Drosophila melanogaster: one gene and its partners. The protein of the gene in region 1 interacts with the protein of each later gene in a pairwise test. Each region holds a gene or a part of one and is shown in the gene's direction. Other genes may lie near its edges. The genes, in order: Got2, Cpr65Ea and CG4998.

The links.
Region 2: the proteins of Got2 (region 1) and Cpr65Ea interact in a two-hybrid assay, tested with the Drosophila melanogaster proteins (one large-scale study listed by BioGRID).
Region 3: the proteins of Got2 (region 1) and CG4998 interact in a two-hybrid assay, tested with the Drosophila melanogaster proteins (one large-scale study listed by BioGRID).

Annotation. Positions count from the first base shown.
Region 1 is NT_033779.5:1,984,859-1,988,616, reverse strand, and holds the start of Got2 (glutamate oxaloacetate transaminase 2), read left to right. Parts: upstream 1-1,661; 5' UTR 1,662-1,731; coding exon 1,732-1,820; intron 1,821-2,511; coding exon 2,512-2,671; intron 2,672-2,733; coding exon 2,734-2,835; intron 2,836-2,897; coding exon 2,898-3,146; intron 3,147-3,215; coding exon 3,216-3,758. Other genes in the region: Npc2a (Niemann-Pick type C-2a), read right to left, coding at 1-228.
Region 2 is NT_037436.4:7,085,409-7,088,611, reverse strand, and holds Cpr65Ea (cuticular protein 65Ea), read left to right. Parts: upstream 1-2,003; 5' UTR 2,004-2,043; coding exon 2,044-2,055; intron 2,056-2,121; coding exon 2,122-2,493; 3' UTR 2,494-2,609; downstream 2,610-3,203. Other genes in the region: Cpr65Eb (cuticular protein 65Eb), read left to right, coding at 1-513.
Region 3 is NT_037436.4:16,336,924-16,340,681, forward strand, and holds the start of CG4998 (uncharacterized protein), read left to right. Parts: upstream 1-2,079; 5' UTR 2,080-2,225; intron 2,226-3,512; 5' UTR 3,513-3,520; coding exon 3,521-3,758.

The DNA of each region.
Region 1 (3,758 bases):
CTTGCCGTGGACGACTGTCTTCACCGCCGTTGCCTCCTCGGCCAGGGCGAAGTCGATGGAGAAGCTGACCGTGGTGTTCCTCTTGAGGATGCACTCCGCCTTGGTGGTGTCGCAGCCCTCGATGGCCACCCGGGTGAACTTGCCCGTCTTCGATCCGCAATCGCTGAACTCGAGGGCTCCGGCGAAGACCACCAGTGCAGCACAGGCAATTACCGCGTACCTCAGCATTTTCTTCCACTTAATTGAATTACAAGGTAAACGTATCGGGTGGCTTTTCCGCTGGCTCTCGCCTCTTTCTGCCTCTTCACAGCGCTACGAATCTACTAAATCTGGAGAGAGTCCGAAGACAACGCAAAGCTTTCGTATGAACGGAAAACAGCTGCGCGCGGCGACTCAGAAGAAAGCTTTCTTCGACGATTGACGGGAGTGCTGCGAACTATCGCTTGAAGGGAATAAATATTATATATATTATAGCTTATATAACAATTATAAAATATAGTTATTTTAGAAAAGTAAGTATAATGTTTCCTGGCAACCATATATTAATTAATGGGGATCGCGGAGAATAAATATTTCATTGCCTACTTATGGGCATGTGCTCGAATACTGAAGCATATTTTCAAAATTCAAGTAATTAAACTTACAAAATGTAAATTTTTCCAAATATTCAGTATATGAAAGCCATAAATTAAACTGATTTTAAATAGTTTTTATTCACTCAGTCATATTTTGCACAGAAGCCAAGAGTTCGGTTAGAAAAAGTCCAAAAGGGGAGCACTGGCGAGCTTTCGCCCCCGCGATAAATATCGAATGCAGACCGGCAAAAGCTTCAGCTCACGACCTTTTGCGCTTGCCGCTTTTGTCTTTAGTATTCTCTTGAGGCCGGCGGCGATTGGCAACGTTTATTACAGTTTCTAATTGTTATTAACTTAAAGCTTAGTACAACCACCGAGTGCATTTAGCAATGTCGCAGATCTGTAAGCGCGGTTTGTTGATCAGCAACCGATTGGCGCCCGCCGCCCTCCGCTGCAAGTGAGTAAGCGGGACGGAGAGAGGGCTCCCAGCGGCCAGCGTGCGTGCTGGAAAGAGACAGCAGGCCGACGAACACGTTGCAGATGCAGCAGTGTCATTTGCCAAGGTCATTGCAGTTGCCGGTCGAGCTGCAGTGACACATTTGTGTTTGTTTTCCCCAGCACTGCATAATTTGTTTGTCCTTGCGGGCTCGTTCTCCAGTTTTAGCACTATACTAAATCTGTTATACGGATTTATTGTTATATCAGCACAGGGGCCTTTTATTTAATCATCTTTCGCTCTGGGCAAATGTAAAACAATTATTTCCGCTGTTTCCAGCTGTTTTTATCTCGTCGGCTAATATTTGCATATGTTTCGGGCCCTCTACTATACTATATAGACTGATTGGCCTATTGGCGGACGTATGTGTATTTATTTTTAAAGCCAATTCTGTGACGCTCCATGCTCTTTTCTGCTAATTTCATTCCACTTGAGGGAACATTTTGAAACCACATGACGACGGATGGGTTGGTAGAAAACAGGTGCCAAAATGAGCTTAAATCACTCCAACATTCTTGAATTATTATATTTTTAGTGGTTAGGAATAAAGAAATAATTCAAGTTTCAAAATATTTGAATTTGTACGAAATCAACTGTGAAAAAGACATCAAAAAGTATTTTTTCTACATCAAAATTGCAAGTTTAAGTTAATATTAAGTTATGAGTAGAACCATTATTATGACGCTTAAGGACATTGTGCATGTGTGGTCCAACGACCCGGGAGAACGGATGTGCCGAGCGAACAGAGTGTAGGGTATTCGTGGTCATATCACGCTTCTGTCGCGTGCTTTGATTTCCATTTTATGAAGCTCCTTGGCTTGTGGGCGGTTTGTTTTATCGAAGTCAGAAGGTTCTTTCCGGAAATCAAACAATCAGATCGAAAGACAGGTGGCGCCTAATTGAAAGAGTTTAATTAAGTTTAATAACTTCCACGATTTATTGCTGAATATTGAGAAGGAGATTTGGAAAGCCGGCTACGTCAGCAAACAATCATCGAGGTTATCGCTGACGTAGGCTTAAATGGATCTATATTGTATACTTTGTAATCGCCGACCGAGTTCCCATAATAACATGTTTACAGCTGATATGGGGGGGCTATTTAAGACCCCCGTGTCGTTGGGGGTACGAAGTGTTAACAGTGGGGGCGAAATCCAAGAAAACCTTTAGATGACTTTCAAACTTTAGTCATGAAAGCGAAATGATAAATGATAGCCACAAGTGGTCAGACGTGGATGAGATAACCTACTACTAAGCAGTTTCATAATCTACCAATTAAATTTAAAACAGATAAGGACTTCGTGGGGCGTTCTCGGGCATTCTAGGGTTAAAGGTTGACGGGCAATAGAAATCACTTGGCAAGTGTGGCAGATATAAGGATGTTTTTAATACATACGTGATGGATATTGTGATGCAATGATTAATATATCATTATTATTCTAGATCAACATGGTTCTCCGAGGTGCAGATGGGCCCACCCGATGCCATCTTGGGTGTCACGGAAGCCTTCAAGAAGGACACCAACCCCAAGAAGATCAACTTGGGCGCTGGCGCCTATCGCGATGACAACACCCAGCCCTTCGTGCTCCCCAGTGTTCGGGAGGTGAGTTCAGATCAAGTTTAAACTAAACCCAATTTTGAAACATAGTTATCGTTTATGACCAGGCCGAGAAGAGAGTGGTGAGCCGTAGTCTGGACAAGGAGTACGCCACAATCATCGGCATTCCCGAGTTCTACAACAAGGCCATCGAGCTGGCATTGGGCAAGGTAATTATATCCCTTATGACTGAGGAATGTCCTAAAAATTAATAAGTATTCCTTTATTACAGGGATCCAAGCGTTTGGCGGCCAAGCACAACGTGACCGCCCAGTCCATCAGTGGAACTGGAGCTCTGCGCATCGGAGCCGCCTTCCTGGCCAAGTTCTGGCAGGGCAACCGCGAGATCTACATCCCGTCGCCATCGTGGGGCAACCATGTGGCCATTTTCGAGCACGCCGGTCTGCCGGTGAACCGATACCGCTACTACGACAAGGACACCTGTGCCCTGGACTTTGGCGGCCTGATCGAGGATCTGAAGGTGAGGATTTACATTGCCACTGATTGATGTTCTTTGATATGCTTACCCATTGTTTATTACCTTTTCCAGAAAATCCCCGAGAAGAGCATTGTTCTTCTGCACGCCTGCGCCCACAACCCCACTGGAGTGGATCCCACTCTGGAGCAGTGGCGTGAGATCTCGGCTCTGGTCAAGAAACGCAATCTGTATCCCTTCATCGACATGGCCTACCAAGGCTTCGCCACCGGAGACATTGACCGCGACGCCCAGGCGGTCCGCACCTTCGAGGCCGATGGCCACGACTTCTGCCTGGCCCAGAGTTTCGCCAAGAACATGGGATTGTATGGTGAGCGCGCTGGCGCCTTCACCGTGCTGTGCTCCGACGAGGAGGAGGCTGCTCGCGTGATGTCCCAAGTTAAGATCCTGATCCGTGGTCTGTACTCCAATCCCCCGGTGCACGGAGCTCGTATTGCCGCCGAGATCCTCAACAACGAGGACTTGCGCGCCCAGTGGCTGAAGGATGTGAAGCTGATGGCCGACCGCATCATCGATGTGCGCACCAAGCTCAAGGACAATCTAATTAAGCTGGGATCCAGCCAGAACTGGGACCACATTGTCAACCAAATCGGCATG
Region 2 (3,203 bases), on another chromosome or scaffold:
GTGGCCATGTCCGTGCTGCTCGGTGTCCAGGCTCGGCCTTCCGATTCCCCGGATGCCCATGCCGAGATCCGGAGCTTTGTCAACGAACTGAAGCAGGAGGATGGCATCTACAATTACCAGTTCGAGACGTCCAACGGGATTGCGCAGCAGGAGCAGGGAGTGGGTGGTTACTACGCTAGCGGCTCATCACAGTACTACACACCCGAGGGCCAGCTCATCCAGTTGACCTACACGGCAGATGAGAACGGATTCCAGCCGCAGGGCGAGCACCTGCCCACGCCCCATCCCATTCCCGAGGCAATCCTGAAGTCGCTGGAGTACAATCGCAACCACCCGGAGGAGGATGGGGAGTACGAGCACCACGACCATCACCATGACCACCATGAGCATCACCAGAGCCATGGTCAGGAGCAGGGCAAGCAGTATCTGCAGCCAGCCGGTGCTCTGCTCGCACCTGCGTCATCGCCAGTGTTGTCTGTGGGTCAGGTCCTGCCCTACGACAGGAAGCTATAATGCTGCATCCGTCCATTGCATCCGTAGCCTCCGCATCCATCTTGTCCAGCTGTCCATGTTGTTGCCTGTCTGTTTGCATAGTCCATAGACCATCCAACATACGGCATCCAGCATATATAGTGCACATCAAGCAGCAGAAAGAACCATCGGAGCAACTACATCTGGACGCGGTGACACACCCACTCACACACACACACACACACACACACACTGTATATATATGTAGGAACCATCATACATTTCCATCAACATGCTCCCGGGCTCCTCAAAGGTCCTTCGTCCTCTGACCCCGGCTCCTTCTCCATTCCGTGTCCGTTGTCGGCTCGACTGACGTTGACATTTATTGCCAGAGATAATAATAATGTAATAAAAGAAAAATACAATTTAATATGCTTGTTTATACTATGAGTGCCTGTGCCGAGACGAGAGCATATGGCCGTGCCTGAAGCCATTGCACAGGAAAAAAAATATGCCGACTACGCGGTGAATAAATCATATCTGTGGCACAGTGATTCAAAAATATTTAAAAAGAAAAACGCCGGGGGTGGGGAGTACCCTCTACAGTGTGAGCAATATCAATTTTGGCAAAAACTTTAAGGGACTTCCCCTTCGCCAGCTAATTGTGACGGATTTGCTTACAAGCGTGAGAAACCAGTTTAATTTTCATTTAGGCATTAATATTTCTCTCTGTGTCAATGCCATCGCATCGCCCACATGCATCATCGCAGCAGCTAACCCCTTGAGTTTTTCCTACAAGTGTGCAGATCTGGGTTCAGTATTATCTATATATAAATTCAGACCGGAGGAAGTTCAATCAGAAATTAATAAATGCACGCTGGTATTTGTTGCTGCTCGGGAGTTTTGTATTATGCAAATTGGCATTGGCCCTTCGATTCCAAGTTGATTCGCGTCTCGAGCCGAAGAAATGTTGTAACTTCAATCATCATTGTTGGGTTGATTAAATTAACAAGTTGTAGTTGTTGTTGCCAATCTCGATGGCGTTTAGCATTGTTGATGTTTGCCGAAGAGCAACATTCGACTTTGATTTTGATGCATTGAGGTTGTGTCATCAGCGCTCCACCCAAGTTCATGATTTTTTAGGGTATAGCTAAGTTTAGGAGTGGATTTAATAATAATATTGCTAGTGCACGTTTTAAAAACATAACAGACTTTATATAAATCAATTAAGCTTTTACTGATTCATGTTTGTTTTTATGTTTAATTTTTATTGGCTTACTTATTAATCTACATTTATATAAATCTTAAAAAAAAGACTCAAAAGGGTATCCAAAAGTCGCTACTCTTCCATTGAACTCCATGCCTTGCATTAATGAATGAAAACGTGTGGCCAAAAGCAGTTTATTGGGCGAAATATGGGTCGCTCTGCATGCCCGACTTGTTTGCATATTCGGAGTCTGTGTCTGCATGTTGGCTTTGTCTTTGACTATCGGATCGGATCACTATAAATAGTCAATCGGGGGCCCAGAGTGACAGCATTAGCCACTCGGTCAACAAACCAGCAGCAGCAACATGTACAAGCTCGTAAGTGGACGGCAGATTCCTTTTGCATGGATCCAGTGATTTAATTGGACAATTCTATACCAATAGCTTCTCGTCGTCGCCCTTTTCGGATGCGCCCTGGCCGCGCCACTGAACGATGATACCATCACCAAGTTCTTGGCCAACCAGGATACGGACGGCACCTACGCCTATGATATCGAGCAGGCCAGCGGTATCCAGATCAAGGAGGAGGGTTTGGCCGGACACGAAGCTCACGGATCGTACTCCTACATCTCTCCCGAGGGTATTCCCGTCCAGGTGGTGTACACCGCCGATGAGTTCGGCTTCCACCCACAGTCCAACCTCCTGCCCACTCCACCACCAATCCCAGAGGAGATCCTGCGCTCCATCCGCTACATCCAGGAGCATCCCACTCCCGAGGAGCTGGCCGATCGTGCTGTTCGCGCCCAGCAGATCTAGAGCTGAATGGAAATTAGTAATCTTAAGTTTGCCAAAGTAGTCATCACACGATGTGTTCATCATCCCAGCCATCCGATTAAACCACAACCAGCTCTTGGCTGGTGTTAATTCCACTTATTTGCCCCGTCTATCTAATTCGCTTGGGAAAGAACTAATTAGTGGAGCAATATAATAGATCTTATTCTAGCCGAAGCGGAGACAATGCTCCGCACTTCATACTGAATATTTAACGCCAGTCTCGTGACATTTCCTTTGCTGTGAACAGTGGCTCGAAAGTTGCCAAAAATCCATTGAGTTTCGTTTCTTTGACTGCCAAATGATTTTCAAAAGTTCCCTATTGTTTAGGATTACAAAACGAAATCTGGACAACCGAAGAAACTTTCTGTGGCAATCTAAACAGCTGAAGGCCAAGGTCAACGTGGGCGAAAAGCGAAAACAATACCTTCGAGGGAGACTTTGTTTCAAATAACATGGAAAGTGCAAAGATATTGGGCTAAACTTGTTTGCGGCCAAAACAAGTCTGTGGACTTACTTTGTTGACTTTATTTTACCACAGGTGCGGATAGGCGAGAAATGGCGGTAAAATGGTAAAAAGCTTAAAAACAAAATGTAGTTTTTTTTAATAAAATCTAAAGTTAAATTTAAATATTCATAGAACTCCCAATAATAATCCGAATCACATTGTCCAATGAAAACACTGTGCGCTTGCT
Region 3 (3,758 bases), on another chromosome or scaffold:
AGAGAGAAAGGTATGGTGAGCGAAAGAGAAGGAGAGAGTGATTCAGTCGGAGGAAGCTAACAAAGTAGAGCAAACACGATTCCCACACAAATCCATTTGGACAAACAATTAACAAGTTGGCCATAATCAACATAGGCTATGTTGTAATAGTGCGGCCCAAGAAATGTGCAAAATGTTGGAGCGCACCATAAATAGATATGAGTATATACCAAATCCGAAATGCAGATCCAATAACAAGCCCCTGAACCTGTAACCCCATCGGATTACAAACTGTCCACCTGGCATTAGTTGTCTCCGGCGAGGTCCAAGTTCAAGTTCAGTTCATCACTCACTGGGATTTACCAATAGCCAAGTTTCAGCTAACTACCAAAATTATTTTTATCAGGAAAATCATTGTAGATAGCAATTAGCCGCATTCGTAGATACACTGTAATAGATGAGATTAAATTAAAACTTATAAAAACGTATAAAATCAACACATTATTTATATTGTTCTGCAAATATCAGGTTGTTTGAATGTTATCTAAATATTTATATTTAAATAAGATATGAAGCTTTTAAGACCTAATGAGTTATTAATCATGTATGCTAGTTTTCAGACCAGAGTATAACAAACGAAAATAGATGTATTAGTTACTGAAACGTACATTTAAATAAGTTTGATATTTACATTCGGAAAACCCTTTATAGATATTATATTAACAATGTATTAAAATCGATTTCCATCTTATTGATGTACCCCCAAAAAAAGGTAAGCCAAACGGAATTAAAAACGATGCAAAATAAGGTTCGTCGCACCTCCTTCGAAAAGCCCAAAGTGCTCGATAGTATGAGTCATAAAAAACCCGATGGTCAAAAACTACGCCACACGCTACGCTGATTGATAAAAACTTCGTGAATTAATCGCGAGCAAATAGCCAAAAGGTGTTTGGCAAACAGCCCAGAGTGGCGACAATAACAACTCCCGAGAAAAATCAATGTGATTAGCATAATTTTCGAAGCTCTGTTGGTCATTATCAACTTTCTTGGAATGCTTAACATAAAACGCCACTTAGGTGGGGGCTAGATGAACGACTGCAGCACATCGAACCAAGGTCAGTAACACAAGTGGAAGCCACTGGAGCCACTGAATCACAATGAGACTCACTCCGGCCGGGCAGCACTGACCATACACAACACAAACGCAAACCTGATAATGATTGGGATTTAAGGTAGTGGCACGCGAACGTGATCATCGTGAATAAGTTTGGGGGGAATGTCTCTAATTTTTATGAACTTCGGGTAATTCCGCCAAGCGCTTTTTACTCACAGTGAGCTAGGTTAAATAAAAAAAACGTTAAAATAAACGAAAATGAAACGAGTGACCGAGCGATGACGTTTGCATTGACCATGGGTTAAAAACCAGGCGATTTGAACTGAACTGCAACCAAAAAGAGAGGCAGATGTATGAAGTAAAAAAAAAATGGGGAAAGATGAATGTATGCCAAAAGATCCGGTTTGAGGCAATGCCCAATTTTACCCTTTTTCACGATGTTTTTATTATTCAGCGGTTGCTACTCTCTGACCCAATTCATAATTGCAGAATTGCATAATCCCGGTTTCTCAAGCAACGCCTTTCCGGGAAGCTAAATTTGGTTATTTAAAATTTGGTAAAATCATAAAAAAAAAAACAAAGCCCCATTTGGATGTTTAAGACAGTCAGTTATGTTTAAGAGATGTGTTGAATGTGATGATAGTTTCTGGGTTTCTTACTGATAATGAAGCTATCATAGTGATATTTCCGCCTATTTCCGCCTCGTTTACTGACCTCCAGTAGTTGGGCAGAATTGGGGATTTGAGGAAAAAACCCAGACGAAAAATCAACACTAACAGCGAAAAAGAGGGGTTGCCAAACATTGTCGCCGTCGCCGCTTTTGTATCTTTTGTTTTGGGCTACCGATTCGCAAACTAAGGCGGTATGAAAGCTAGAAGAAGACGGAATCAATGCAGACAGAGACAGCGAAACGTTGGAGCTTGACGTCGACGGCGCGCATGCACAGCTTTTGTATAAAATGTGCGCGGCCAACGAAAGCGAAATCAGTGAACGATCTGCAGAGCATCGAAGAGCACAATCGGTGCAGAAAGTGAATGAAGTGAAAGGATAAGAGACTCAGTAAATTGCATAAGGATTATCCGGACAACAGTGATAACTAACCAATTGGATTAATAAACTTGACACAAAAAAGGTGAGTGAAGTGAGCGAAATTAGCAAAGTGAACTCAAGTGAACCGAAAGCGAACTAATTTAAATGAATGGCTATTAGATGTGAATTATGAGTCTGCAGCACATGAAATTATGGTTGTTGCAAATATGCCTACATACATACACTTAATAAAAACTCTTGGCCAAGAGCCTCCGCGTCATTAAGCCAATCGAACAAGCGAAACTTTCACTGCGAACACAAAGGAAAAACCTAAAAAAATTTCCCAAACCCAACCAAACGGCAGTTAGCATCGCTTACGAGCACTTCTCGCCAAAGAAAATCCAAGCGAAAAAGTTGCCGGCAATTTGCAATGCAACGCTGCGCACAACTTCCGGCCGAAAAAGCAGGCCTAAAGAAATCCAAAGATACATTTACATAACTGGAAAATATATACTTGAAAAAAATCATAAAAAATAAAATATAACTCGAAATTGTAGTGTGTAATGCCGCTCTAGATGAATCAGATCTGTTTACATAATCATTTAAAATATAAATATATCTTCTTACTTAAGCATATAATTCCGAGTGGCAAAATTATAATTCTGGCTATCCTATTAGTTACTCCTTAAACCAATATTACATTCATAATTGATTTTTTTGTTAAGTGTAGCCGATCTTTTACAAAATCCGCCCTCGCTGTGAGCCGGTGACATAACTGCAATGCAAACGACCATAAAAATAAAGGCTGAAAAGAAAAGTGAATTTTACCAAATAAAAGAGACACGAAGCGGAAAGCGGCTGTCAGGGCGAGAGATCAAGTTGAGCGATGGTCTTCGGTGGGATTGCAGTCGTAGGCTTGCTAAATCTGTAGGAAAATTACCTCATAAATTACGGGGACCTGAAGCCAGCGATCCCCTCGCCATCCCGACTCGCATTTCGAGCAAAAGTAACGTACAAAATCAGGCAATTAAGTGCTACGGTCTGCGACCTCCAATGAAAGTAAAAGTCTTATACGAGAGTCTGAGTCACGGTGAAGATTTCGTGATGCTAACCGGTTTGGGCTTCGGATTCGGTTTTGTTACGGATTGGTTAAGCCAAAGATGGTATGAGGGATCGGTGGCTAGGTGGAGAAATGTAAACTGGCACAATGACTTGGGGTAATGGTGTCAAGCTCGCCACTTATGTCATAACCAATCATGACTAAACCTCTTAATTTATTTTCCACTCAAAAGAAAAGGCGACAAAGATGGTCAATCAATCACTTGATTAATATATCCGTAGATATTAGAGAATTGGTATCCTAAAGTTTTTCTATCTAATCATTTCACAGGCTTCACAATGAGAATAAGAACTAGCCTTTTGGCAGTTGTACTGCTGGCCACCGCCTCCTTGGCCGAGGAATCCAACTGGGGAAATGAGTGGGCGCCCATGGAGGATGCCATGCCCAGTCGCCGATCTGTCGATACCAAGCCCGCCGAACAAGCTGACATTCAGGGACGTTACCTCGTCCACGAGTCCATCCAGAGCAACAGCACCACCCAGATTGACGAGGTCATCGAGCAGCTGATCAACTCCC